Arabidopsis thaliana: one gene and its partners. The protein of the gene in region 3 interacts with the protein of the main gene of each other region in a biochemical or structural test. Each region holds a gene or a part of one and is shown on either strand. Other genes may lie near its edges.

Region 1 (4,964 bases), on a different chromosome or scaffold from region 3:
GATAGAGAGAGTTCAAAGATAATTGTTTTTCTTATTACTCTTTTAAAAAATGCTCTTTCCACTTTCAGAGGGTCTGAAAATCTGGAAACTGCGTAACTTAAAATACATAAATTAAGCATCAAGTGTACGACGCGCTACGTTGGAGCGTGTATTACACGAAACATTTGAATCCGTTGATCTCGTCGACATGGTGTTTGATTTGGCGCGTGAAAAGAGTCTACGTGTTGGCGAGGTGACCCATCTTCTTACACGGGACCGTTTTTTATTTTTATCTTTCGCTCCATACGATTTTGCAATCTTTTTTACTATTGTCCCATAACGATTTTATGGGCTTTTGGATGAGGATGTATAAATATTTATCAATTTTTCCCTTACATAGGTATAAATATTCATTATCTTACAAAGATAATAGTTTATAAATTTTATATCATTATTTAAAGAAAATAATATGATGTAGAACTGTCTTTTTAAATTTCTATTAAAAACTTAATTTTAGAAGAATTTGGATTTTTTTTACAAAAATTTTTAGAAAAACTTCTCAACTATTTGGTAATTATTTTTTTGGACAATTTGTTCTTTTTCCAGATAAACTATTAGCTTGGTACCATAATGACAAAATAGTATTTTTAGTTCTTTACTTGGTCTGGTCTACTAGCTAAGCAAAAAAATATCTTACTAATAATTTATAATAATTGACACGTCATAATGTACTGGATCACGTGCATCGCATGTTTAGACGAGAGTATCATATGGCGCTGTCTGATGATTTTGGTAGCATTCATCATTGCAACTCGTAAGAAGAAAAGCTGAAACCAGATCTTCCTTCGTTAACTGTTTTCAGCTCCAGCTTCTGAAACGGACTGTCCAGAAACAAAATATCATCAGGTTTTATCTCAAACAACAACAGATTATATAGTTTGTATCTTGGACTAACCTGCTGTTTGGATCATAATAGAAACCGCTGATGGAACCATCGCTGCAGGAGAAGCATACGTAGTAAAATCCAGCTATTGTTAGTCCACAATCTGTGCCAACGTTTACAAAGTATTGCTCTTTCCATCTCTGCACCACCACAAAAATAAACCCGAGTTGCAGGAATTATGGAATACTTGAGAGAAAATGATGATTGGATTCGATAGGAAAAACTGAGAGTTATACCATAAATATATAAGGATAATTGTTAAGATCCAATTGCCTGCCACCATCAGATTCAACTTGTCCCTGCAGTATTAAGTCCAGAACGTTGCTTAGGAGATGTTACTGACTATACAAACAATGTTACTCGAGTGTTACCTGAAGAGGCGAAAAAGACGGGAACTTTGACCAATGTCTCATATCATCTTCCCTCCTGTGACAAACAAACTTTCAAAAATTTATTCACGATAAGAAATCATCAGTTTCAAATCTACAAGAATATAGGAATTGGGACATACGTTGCTTCCCATTTTCCGGTGTAAAAGGTATAATTCTTTCCATCAACGATTTCCCCTTCCCAGAATGTTATGACCTGACACTCACAGAATCAAGAATCGTGTCCCCTATTAGAAATTCAAGGGGAAGCAATATGAAGAAAAAATGAGTAAGAGTGTAAGGGCTTACAGGAGTGTCTGCCATGGGAACGTTTAGAGCTTCCATGGTGCCACAAAGATAACCATGTTCAAGGTCAATACCCTGTATCTGGACGTTGACTCTCCAAGCTTCCTCCTTCTGTTGATTAGAGACATTTTGCGTACCAGAAAATGCCTGCAGCACAGCATAAAAACATGTGTGTTCCTCATCTTTAGGTTCATTATGAATAAACAATCTCTTTGAGCCAATGAATGTTATACAATCCCAACTAGATACAAATGCACTTGAATTAAGCATACATGTCAACATGAAAAAGATATGAAGCCAATCAAAGCAGACAAGGCCAACTTCTAATTGGTATAACAAAAATCAGCATTACTAGAGAATCGTTATGCAACCAGAACACTTGAACAAGTTGCAGATCTAATGGGAAGAAAGTAACTAGACCCATGATGTTTGTTGCCTGCCTATGAATGATGCTTTGTGCCTGAACAACGAGACACGAGATCTTTAAGTTCTTTTATGCTAACCTAAGTAGCTAAACATCATGGAAACTTATAACTTTCCTTCTCATCTTACCATAGCCTCTCTCTCACAAATTTCACATAAAGTATACTAGCAAACCCTTGTGAAGCAAAGTTTCTTCTATAACTACCACAGCCAATCGACAGAATCAACAATAAAAAAATTAGCTATTCTTGTGATTTCAAGTATTCATAAGTAAGAACTTGTCAAGTTTGAGAGAAAATTCACCTTTACACATAAAAACCCCTAAGATAATGTCTTTATAGGTATACTCAGATTCTGCTTACACATAAGGTTATGTTCATAAAAAGAGTGTGCATACATAACCACAGATGCACAAGCATAACTAATAAAGTTCTTTCTAGTCCTAACCAATATTCCCAAGACCTCTATGGTCAGACACTTGAGAGAAAAACTTGTAAAAATCCAAGTATCATACGAATCCTAGAAATAAATTTCTGCAAAATAACATGTTTTGTTAATTCATTAATCGTTGTACCTGGCCAGCGCCGAGAAGTGAACTAGGGGGAAGTGGTGATCGATTCCCAGGATCAGTTCCTAAATGGCAACAAATCTCAACAAATGAGCGAGAGAGCCACAAAGAGGGAACATAAACAAACAAACCTAAATTCAAAACTTGAAGAAGCGATCAAAAACCTGAAACTTGAGCAGGCGTGTTGCTCTCAACAACTCTCACCGGCATTTTCTTCCGTCTCCTCCTTTCCGTCTGATAAAAATCCGATCTTTGGTGCGACCAAATCAAATCGTGGAGCCTAATCAAAAACCACATCTCATCATACCCGGTTCGGTTTTCTTAACCGAATCAAATTATACATAAAACGGATTAGGCTTCTCCGGTTTTCGACTGCGTTTTGTATAAAACCTCTCAAAAACCTTTTCTTCTCTCCCCGTCAGACCGATCTTCTCTCTCCTCGCCGCCGCCTCCAAATCCGGAAGAAGCTTTTTTCCACCTCTATTATCGAACTTGCTTTATAAAAATCTAACCTTTGGACCTGACTTTCCGACTTCTCTCTCTGTCTAGCTGCTTCTCTCACCCAGGTTTGCCTTCCTCTCAAGTTGAAGCTGCGGCTTTATTAGTTTAGCTATTGACTCTAAGAATGTTACTTGAATCCATTCACATGAGCTTCTTACGTCGTTTTCATTGGTTTAGCTATTGACGTTGACTTGGGTTTTGCTTGAGTTCATTCTCTATTGTGGTCTACCATACTTTTTCATGTTACTTGATTGCATATTTATAAAACGGTGCTAAAAGTATTCCGTTTTGTATAGCATTCTAGATGTTGCTTTTGAAACAAAGCTCAGCTGCTGTTCTTGTCGTTGGAAATACAACTCCAGTCCTTCACACTTCTCGCTCCACCTACAGAGTTGGACCTTTTCCAGTGACCAGAACGCAGTCGTTCCAGAGTTTGACTATGGCAAATTTGCAGAAGCTTCCCACTTCTTCGTCTGGGAAATTGAATACGGCTTCAGCTGTGCCCTGTAGCTCTCACGATGCTTCTCCTATCAGGTACCTATGTCCCCTGTATTGAGTATAATGGTGTCAACCATTCTTCTTAAGTATTTTCTCGATTCTTATTATTTTCTTGGCTATTGTGGTGTGTTAAAAGATAAACGAGATTGGATCAATTAAGCTGAAAGGTGAAAGTCGTTGTATTTAAACCACATATCAATTAAGCCTGCATATATTAATCTGTGAAAATGAAGAAAAATTTCTCTTTTCTTGTAAGTTTCATGGACATGAGAAGTTGCATAGCTGTTGTGGTTAAGATTGCATCACACCAATTGCAATGACGAATAAAATATAGAAACTAGCTGTGCTTCCCTGCTCGTTTCTCTGTTACTAGACACAAAGATTTGAAAATAGTAAGACTGGGGAAGGAATTTCTAATGTTATTTATCTTTCCTCTTTGCAAGTGAGAATCGCGAGAATAAACATGTCCATGGAGTTTCTGAGAAAATTGTGGGAGTTCTTGGGGGTGGACAATTGGGTCGTATGCTTTGCCAAGCTGCTTCTCAGTTGGCTATCAAAGTGATGATTTTAGATCCTTCTAAAAATTGTTCAGCAAGTGCATTGTCCTACGGTCACATGGTTGATAGCTTTGACGACAGTGCTACAGTAGAAGAATTTGCAAAAAGGTCTCTTCTTTTGTTTGTTTCTTGAATGCTTCAGGTTCTCAATTCTTATTTTCATTACAATATTTATGGTTATTTTTGTTTATTGTCGTAGTTAGATGTGGAGTCTTAACTGTAGAAATTGAACATGTTGACGTGGACACACTAGAGAAGCTTGAGAAACAAGGAGTGGATTGCCAACCCAAAGCTTCTACTATTAGGATAATACAGGTTTCATAACCTCTCAAATATTTCATCAAATGGAGTTATGTATAGTCAAAGTTTTTCAGCAATTTTATTTATATGTGGCAGTTTGATGTTCCAGGATAAATACATGCAAAAGGTTCATTTCTCTCAGCATGGCATCCCACTTCCAGAATTTATGGAGGTTAGGCCCTTGTTTATACTTTGTTGAAAGAATCACTCATTAAGTTCTCCATGAATCATGAGGAGTTTGTTAATTGTTTTTACCCCTAAACCTCACCACATCAGATAAGCGATATTGAAGGAGCAAGAAAAGCAGGTGAACTTTTCGGTTACCCTCTTATGATCAAGAGCAAACGATTGGCTTATGATGGACGTGGAAATGCAGTTGCCAACAACCAAGATGAGCTTTCTTCTGCTGTAACGGGTAAACCCTTAACTAACCATATTTAATTTGGTTTCATAGTTTCTAGTAACAGTTAAACCAGTTAATCGTGTACAATGCCACAGTCAACGAGAAAACAAAAAATTGT
Region 2 (3,361 bases), on a different chromosome or scaffold from region 3:
CCTGACCAGAACAAGAGTTTTGAACTTTACAGTGGGTGTACAGCTTCATAGTGTTCTTCTTCCCAGGAGGATCAACAAATTTGAAAAGCGGATTGCTTCCGTGGCACGCAATGCTTGGCCTGTTTGTTTACATACTTGCTGTCGGGAATGCAGCTTTAGGGTTTCTGGAAAAGCTGACTTTCTTGGAGAATGGAGGGCTTGACAAGTATGGATCCGAAGCATTTCTTATCAACTTCACGGCCATTATCACTATTCTCTTTGGTGCCTTTGTGGTACTCACTGCTTCTGCTGAGTCTCCTTCTCCTTCTCCTTCCGTCTCCAATGATGATAGTGTTGACTTCAGTTATTCTGCTATATAAAACACTTTCTACATTCCACGTTACATCTGTATCGCCCCTTGTACTCTCAAAACTCCATTTATGTATGATGCATTTGTAGCGAAAAGCTTTGTGTGTTACGGCTTTGCTACTTCTGGTGTGTAAAATCTTCAATGATATTGATGAATCTTTTAAATCATTTTCTTTTCTTTTCTTTTCTTTCATATTGCCATTCCTTTAACCATATATGCTATTTGCCTTATTGGTGTCAAAGCATTTAAGACAAAACAAAAAACAAAACATTTTTTTTCCGGTTTTGCCTTAGAAATTTGATTTACATTACAATAAACGCAATTTACGTCGTTGTTGATGGAGAAAAGAATTCAGCAGAAGAATTACAATCTGAAGCCTCTCTATAAATATGATGCTCCTGCTTCTTACATTTGGAACCAAACACAATGTCGTTAAGAGTCCAGTTGCTGTTGTTGATCATCATTTCGTTGTAATGGAACTGATCAACATCACCCATTTCTTCATAAGCTGAGAGAGTCTCTTCGACATTTGGAGCTTGACTGTGCTTAGAGTCGGTAAACTCAGAGGAATAATCGGTGTGGGGATATGAAGAAGAAAGCCATTCAGAGAAGAAAAGCCTTGGAATCTCAGGAGCAGAAGAACATTGATGGCTGTTATTTCCGTTGCTTTCTTGTGAGGGAGATGAAGATTTGTTCTCTAGAAGTCTCTGGAAGGAGAACACGTGATTCGAGATCAAGGTTTCCGGATTTCTTTTTCCACAAGCAACAAGTGATGATGATGAAGACGAAGGAGGGGAAATAGATTTTGCATCTTGTAAGCTCTGAGACTTGAGCCATTTCTTTTTCAAATGAGAGTGCCAATAGTTCTTTATCTCATTGTCTGTTCTTCCCGGTAAGAATTTAGCTATTTGCGACCACCTAATTACACCTAAATCATTAGTCTCTCTATAACTAGCATCTGCTAAAACAATAGGGTTAGGTCTTAGAGATACACTTACTTGTTACCCAAGGAAGAATGAAACGTCAAGATAGTCTCTTCTTCTTCTGCACTAATCATATCCCTCTTTAACCCTGGTCTTAGGTAATTAATCCATCTTAATCTGCAGCTCTTCCCATTCCTTTGTAACCCTATCAAATTAAATCCCAACAACAATTATCAAAGTTGACTCAGTTTGAGAAACTAAAAACTAATAAAGAAGAAGATGAAAGAGAGACCAGCTTTGATGGGAACAGTGGTCCAGCAAGAATGGCCATAAGAGAGGATGAAGCTCCTTAGCTTCTCGTCTTCTTCAGGTGACCATAACCCTTTCCTATGTCTCTCTCCATATTTCGTCTTCGCCATTTCTCTTTAGTCAGCTGTCTGTCCTGATACAAGAAAACATGTCTCAATACTATATATGGTGATTGAGACAACATATATATCACCAAACGTCCACAGATAGAGCCTACATACTTGGTGTTAAGAAATGACCAAATGGGCCTGCTTAGAGTAAATGACAAATGACATATATATTTCTATTTTTATGAAAATTTGGGATATAATTTATGTGTTAATTTCTTATGAGTATACTGTATGCATTTGTATAAGCAGTGAGGAGAAAAGTCATAATGGAATATGTAAGGATTAATTAGGTGTCAAAAGTCTGCTTGGATAAATTTAAATTATTGATATAATGTTCCAACTTAAAATAAATTAGCAATTTTCAGTATATATAAGATTTGAGATTCCTACCTATAAAAAAAAAAAAAAAGAAGAATCTTTGCTTGTTTTTGTTCTTTCACTTTGTTTTCTTATTGTTTGTTTTCCTTATATTTACTTCATTTATAATGGACGATGCCTTAAGAATTTACACACTAATCAGATAACATCTTCATATCCAAAAATCTCTAAAATGTCGGCAAGAATTTTATATTAACGACTTCTTTAATTTATGTTTAAATCGCGTCAATGAGTTTTTTGGTTAGAAACGATCATCCGGGTGGAATAATCTGTCTGATTCAATCCAATGATTGTGAATAATGAAGTAATGATTATAGAGAATCATCCAATCTGTTAATCTTTTCGTAAAGCATCATTAGCAAGCAGACAAATTGCATTTGCTAATACAAGTACTTGAAATAATTATTATATGATTTGAGAGCTCTTTTTCTCTTAATTATAAAATTTTGTAGTGAAGTCAACATTGAGCTCCTATTTGCTGCTAGTAATTATTTCATATTTTTTCCTCTCACGATGTTTTTCTTACATTCACACTGACAAGTGGACCAATAATAAGAGTTATTTGAGGAATATTGTGAATTTCAACAATTTGAATTCCTTCTGTCCCGATCGAAATGGCCTGTCCCAATTTTAAAAATACTCTGATTTTGTTTTTTACTTGTTGGCTCTTTTGGCCTGTGGAAAATGACGAGTAAAGAAAATTGAGAGGGAAACAATAAAAAAGTGTCTACCTTGTCTTGGTCGTCTTGATAACATAATATAATTTGCCGTCAAACTAATCCCCAATGAAACACGACTAATAAATTTTATACATCTAATGTTATGATGACTTAATCCTTAGCCCTCGGAGAATAAATTTTATACATCTAATGTTATGATAACTAGGATACTTTAGATTGTTCGTCTACAACAAAACTTCTCCTCCTTCGACCATTAGGCCTTGTGGTATGTTGATAAAACTTTATGAAATATGTTGACAAAGAAGGTTAAACATGGCTTAGTTTTATGCACCAAAATAAAAACATCATTCAACATTGAATGAAACACATGTTTTACGGTTAGAGAAGACAGGCGTTAGTCAAACAATGACAAATGCTTTTAAAAATGAGATACAATAATCTTTGTTTTTTGTGCTGACACTTTGAACCGGTTCTACATAAAAGCCAACAAGTCTATAATGCAAAAAACCCAACTCGCATCATTGGAAAACCCCATCTCTAATCCGGTAGCTACAGCTCTCTACCGTACCTAAGTAACTTACCCATCTGATAGGTTCCTTGTTCTTGAACACA
Region 3 (4,020 bases):
TACTGTTTCCCTAGACGAAATAAACGAAGAGGAAGATCAGAAGTTTGTAGAATTCATGAAAGGAGGTGGTTGCAAAGAATCATTTACGGCTTGGAATGATGATTGCAATTTCACTGAGGAGGAAGCTGAGAAGAACAAAGATTTGGTTACTAAGTGTGCGGGACTCTTTGGGACGTTTTCCAAGTGTATGGATACTCACTCTGATTACTATCATCCGATTCTCGCAGTGAAGAAAACTACCGAAGAACATTTGGAGAAAGAGCTCGCAACTTTCTTCTTGGAAGAAAGCTAAGAGATATGATTTTGGAGGATTTTGTTTTTTTAATGCTTTTTTATTCTGAATCAATAATCTTTCCTTTTGTTTTTTATGATTCTAGAGATAATTTGCTTTCAATGTTTTTACTATGTTTATGCCCATCAATGTTTCACTATAAACCTTACCGGATCAGCATTGGACAAGTAGTTAAGGGAAATGATCATTGTGAATAGTTTCAGCATTTGTGTCTAAGACTACTATATAGTAGTATTGAAGGTGAGATCCATGGATCATTTGTCTGCAACATCGGGAACATGTAAAAGGTTTGTTCTGATCTGGTTTTATATATGTTTCTATTCAAAAACAAGGTGAAATATTTATATAAACATTGCAGTGATTAGTGATATTGATAAATATGTAGATAGATTCTTGTTGTTTACATCATGAGTGTAGAAAAGTACTGCTCAAACTCTTGATCAATGGTTGGTTTCGTGGTAGCTTCTTTGGAATCTGCAATCCAAATGGTGAAAGAATAATCACAAATAATTCCCATACACAATGCGTGACACTAAAGCATTTAGCTTTTCATTGATTACCTTGGTTGCTGACACTCCACCTTGCAGAAGAAAGAATATAAGACTCAACTGGATTCAGAACCTCTTGAAGATCTTCGACCGCAAATTCGGAGTCGTGATAAATGAATTCCATGTGAGTAAAGTCTTGGGTATCTTCTTGTGTTTTGTGATCAACTTTGGAAAAGCATTGTTCTATGCTTGATGTAGCAGCATAACCAGAACTAGAACTTCCGGTTGAATAAATAGAGTCTTTAAACATGTACAAAGAAGGGCCTGTAAAAGATGCAGAAGAGGAGGCTTCATCGCTGGTTTTTGTGTTCTCCATGGCATAAGAGCATTCTGCATAATCTATAACTGATGATGGACATGAAGAATTAACAAGAGAGGCTTGATGCTCAGAACAAAAGTGTTTTGGTAAGGGTAACAAGTCTGATTCTTCAGCATGCAGTTTTCTCTTTTTGCTTGTGTCTAGAGATTCCACAGCAACTATCATCGGATCGTTGATATCGCTGAAATCATATATGGTTAATCTAGTGAAAGGTCATGAATTGACTTATTTTCCATGAGACAAAAAGAGGTAAAGGATAAATAGAAGACTAACACTCAGCTTATACCATAAAGGGACATATCCATAATTACAAGTAACTATCCATAAAGTATTCACACCAGTCAACAAAAGACTTAACATTTTTCATTGATACCACACTGAGATAAAGAGAAAGTATCATAAATCTTGTTAGTCCACAATCTAAATCCACAAGTAAAATTTGTCCATAGTAAAGATAAGATCCAAGTGTTGAGTATCTCTTAAGTCATCATCAACAAGTTGCCGTAGAAATACAAATCCTAAACACTACACACAAACACACACTTCACCTTAAAACATAGTGAGGAAAACCAGCAAACATCTAAGGACACAATACTATGTAGCTCAGGAAGTTTAAGATTTAAAGAAGATGAAAACTTGCGGGAAACGTACAAAGCAGAACGAAAGAGAGTAATTCGAGCAGAGAAACTTGGGTTGATTTTGCAGATTCAAGATACAAGTTTTGAGATCAAGTTTTAAATCTTTACATAGAGTTGTTTTGTATAAAACATAGAAGGAAAAATAAGTAAAAAGAAGATATTATGTTTTGTTGAAAAGAAAAACCTATGATCCAGCGATGGGCTACAACTCTTATCTGCATCATCCATGATCTTAGAAGATTAATTTTCTTCCTCCAGATATTAGTTTTGTTGTTGGAGATGAAGTGTGATTAAGATCTCTACTCTCTAGTGTCCGAATATTCTTTCATTAAAAAAGTTCAAATGTTCGGTATAGAAGGAAAGGAGAAAAGCAAATCCGCGTTCTCAACCAGAGGCGACTGCAAATCACGGCCATGACCTGGCGAGAAACCGTTGGCCCATGACAGAGGCCGCACGTGCAACGGCGCGTGAACTAAAGAAAAAGACAGTAAACCGCGTTATGTTCCCACGTGGGAGTGAGACTATTGTGGGCCCTGACGTTTCAAATTATTAACTCGTCAGCAACTTGAACCTGTTTGATGCCCAAATCTTGGTTATTATGGGCTTTTTTAGTGAAATTAATTTGGGCCTCTTTAAACACACGATCGCCCAAAAAGAATCCATGTCGTTGTAACTAGAGGGATCCGTTAAAGGATCAAATCTACATATACACTTTTGCGATTGACATAGGTCAAAACAAGTTTGTTTTTTCGCGATTTTTAACATTAACTTTTGTAACTTTATTTTGAATAACGAAAAAAAACATAGTGCGATTCAAAAGTCCAAAACTGATGACGATTAAAGATTTTGTGATATAACTCTCAGCTAAAAATTAATTACGCAAAGAAAAGACCATGTCAAAAGCAAACAGAGACAACTAACTAACTACTACCAAACTCGAAGTTATTACACACCCGCTCGTGTCCGTAACACAAATCTCATTGTAGTCACGTGCATACCTTTCTACTAGAGAAACCATTTCTACGTAGGCAAAAAACTATAATTACACACTGGTTATCTATGGTTTACGATCCGATTCCGAGTCTCTGACCCGATACATCACATTCTACCGGAGCTAAACCGATTCTTGATCTTTGTAGATCAAATTCGATCCACATGTTCTGCTGATGATGATGTCCAATCACGTAAGCCTCCATTCCCATAAGGTCGGAGTTTCCAAATGTGAAACAATAAACCGAATCGTTTCCAACCGTGAGATGCGGGACTCGGTACAATAGCGGCTGACCCGAAACCGCTATCTCGGCTCCTTCGAAAACCAGAGAAACTGTTGGTAAACGGTGGAGAATTCCGGACCGTATACGAACCGGTGAAATCCGATAACACAAATCCATGGTTCCTTGGAAAACAAAATCTGGGTCTTCGTAAACCGTTAAGATTCCGTTTGTCCGGTTTAAGAAATGGGATCGAAGTGCGGTGTAAACCGGTCCAAGCAGGAAAGTAAACTGAGTACCGGAATCAACCATGGTTTGACCAGCACCGGTATGATCCGGTACGAGAACCGATTTAGGGATGGGTAAAAGCTTACCGTTAACTTTAATACCCGTGAGCTGGACGGTGTAAGCTACACGGTCGAAGTAAGGTAACGGCGTAGAGATACGAATTAACGGCGTGTAATTTAACGGCGTTAACCACGTGAAGTTAGAGTCGCCGAGGAGAAGAAACCCCGGGAAGTCGTCGGTGCCGGAGATGCAATAAGAGAATTTGGGGAAACCCATTTGAGAGATAAAAGAGAGGGAACCACGGTTCATACCCAATAACCCAGTTGTTTTGGTATCTTCTTCCGGGTCGGATCCGGATACGGAACCCATACACCCGAAAATGAGATTGGAGTCGTTGGTGGAGTTTCCGAAGTGGAAAATCTCGGCGGCGAGGTTACCTTCGGAGGAGGAAGCGTCGGCGTAGGATAGAGTTGCGTGGCAGAGTTTGTCTGAATCGCAAGAAGCGGGTATGAGGAAGTCTCGGGTCCGGGTACGACAAGTGGGTGAGGAACAGGGGATTGGGGAATAAGAGGAGGAACGGGTCGGGTCAAAATTGTTAACCGGGTTTGGGTTTGAGGAACGGTTGCAACGAAGCCAGGAGAGTTCACTGCCAGTGTCAATGACCATGGAGATGTTTTGAGGAGGAGTACCGACGGTGAGAGTAACGGTGAGAGTGACGTTGTGG

What was found.
Region 1: the proteins of FHL (region 3) and AT2G37680 form a complex in vitro, tested with the Arabidopsis thaliana proteins (one study listed by BioGRID).
Region 2: the proteins of FHL (region 3) and LAF1 form a complex in vitro, tested with the Arabidopsis thaliana proteins (one study listed by BioGRID).

The regions. Positions count from the first base shown.
Region 1 is NC_003071.7:15,802,719-15,807,682, forward strand, and holds AT2G37680 (glucose-induced degradation-like protein), read right to left. Parts: upstream 2,956-4,964; 5' UTR 2,885-2,955; coding exon 2,752-2,884; intron 2,653-2,751; coding exon 2,594-2,652; intron 1,744-2,593; coding exon 1,600-1,743; intron 1,508-1,599; coding exon 1,434-1,507; intron 1,349-1,433; coding exon 1,294-1,348; intron 1,222-1,293; coding exon 1,159-1,221; intron 1,063-1,158; coding exon 935-1,062; intron 861-934; coding exon 782-860; 3' UTR 525-781; downstream 1-524. Other genes in the region: AT2G37690 (phosphoribosylaminoimidazole carboxylase, putative / AIR carboxylase), read left to right, coding at 3,393-3,622, 4,030-4,251, 4,347-4,458, 4,553-4,615, 4,720-4,858.
Region 2 is NC_003075.7:13,050,885-13,054,245, reverse strand, and holds LAF1 (myb domain protein 18), read right to left. Parts: upstream 1,744-3,361; 5' UTR 1,692-1,743; coding exon 1,565-1,691; intron 1,519-1,564; exon of another isoform or gene 1,478-1,518; coding exon 1,348-1,477; intron 1,268-1,347; coding exon 673-1,267; 3' UTR 504-672; downstream 1-503. Other genes in the region: ACYB-2 (Cytochrome b561/ferric reductase transmembrane protein family), read left to right, coding at 33-359. UniProt on the Arabidopsis thaliana protein: Transcription factor that promotes photomorphogenesis in the light by participating in the transmission of phytochrome A (phyA) signals to downstream responses. Probably acts by activating expression of light-induced genes.
Region 3 is NC_003076.8:435,525-439,544, reverse strand, and holds FHL (far-red-elongated hypocotyl1-like protein), read right to left. Parts: upstream 2,181-4,020; 5' UTR 2,026-2,180; coding exon 1,982-2,025; exon of another isoform or gene 1,341-1,981; coding exon 853-1,340; intron 767-852; coding exon 693-766; 3' UTR 526-692; downstream 1-525. Other genes in the region: AT5G02210 (GCK domain-containing protein), read left to right, coding at 1-292; PCS1 (Eukaryotic aspartyl protease family protein), read right to left, coding at 2,862-4,020. UniProt on the Arabidopsis thaliana protein: Can activate transcription. Essential for light-regulated PHYA nuclear accumulation and subsequent PHYA phototropic signaling processes. PHYA-specific signal transducer in response to continuous FR lights.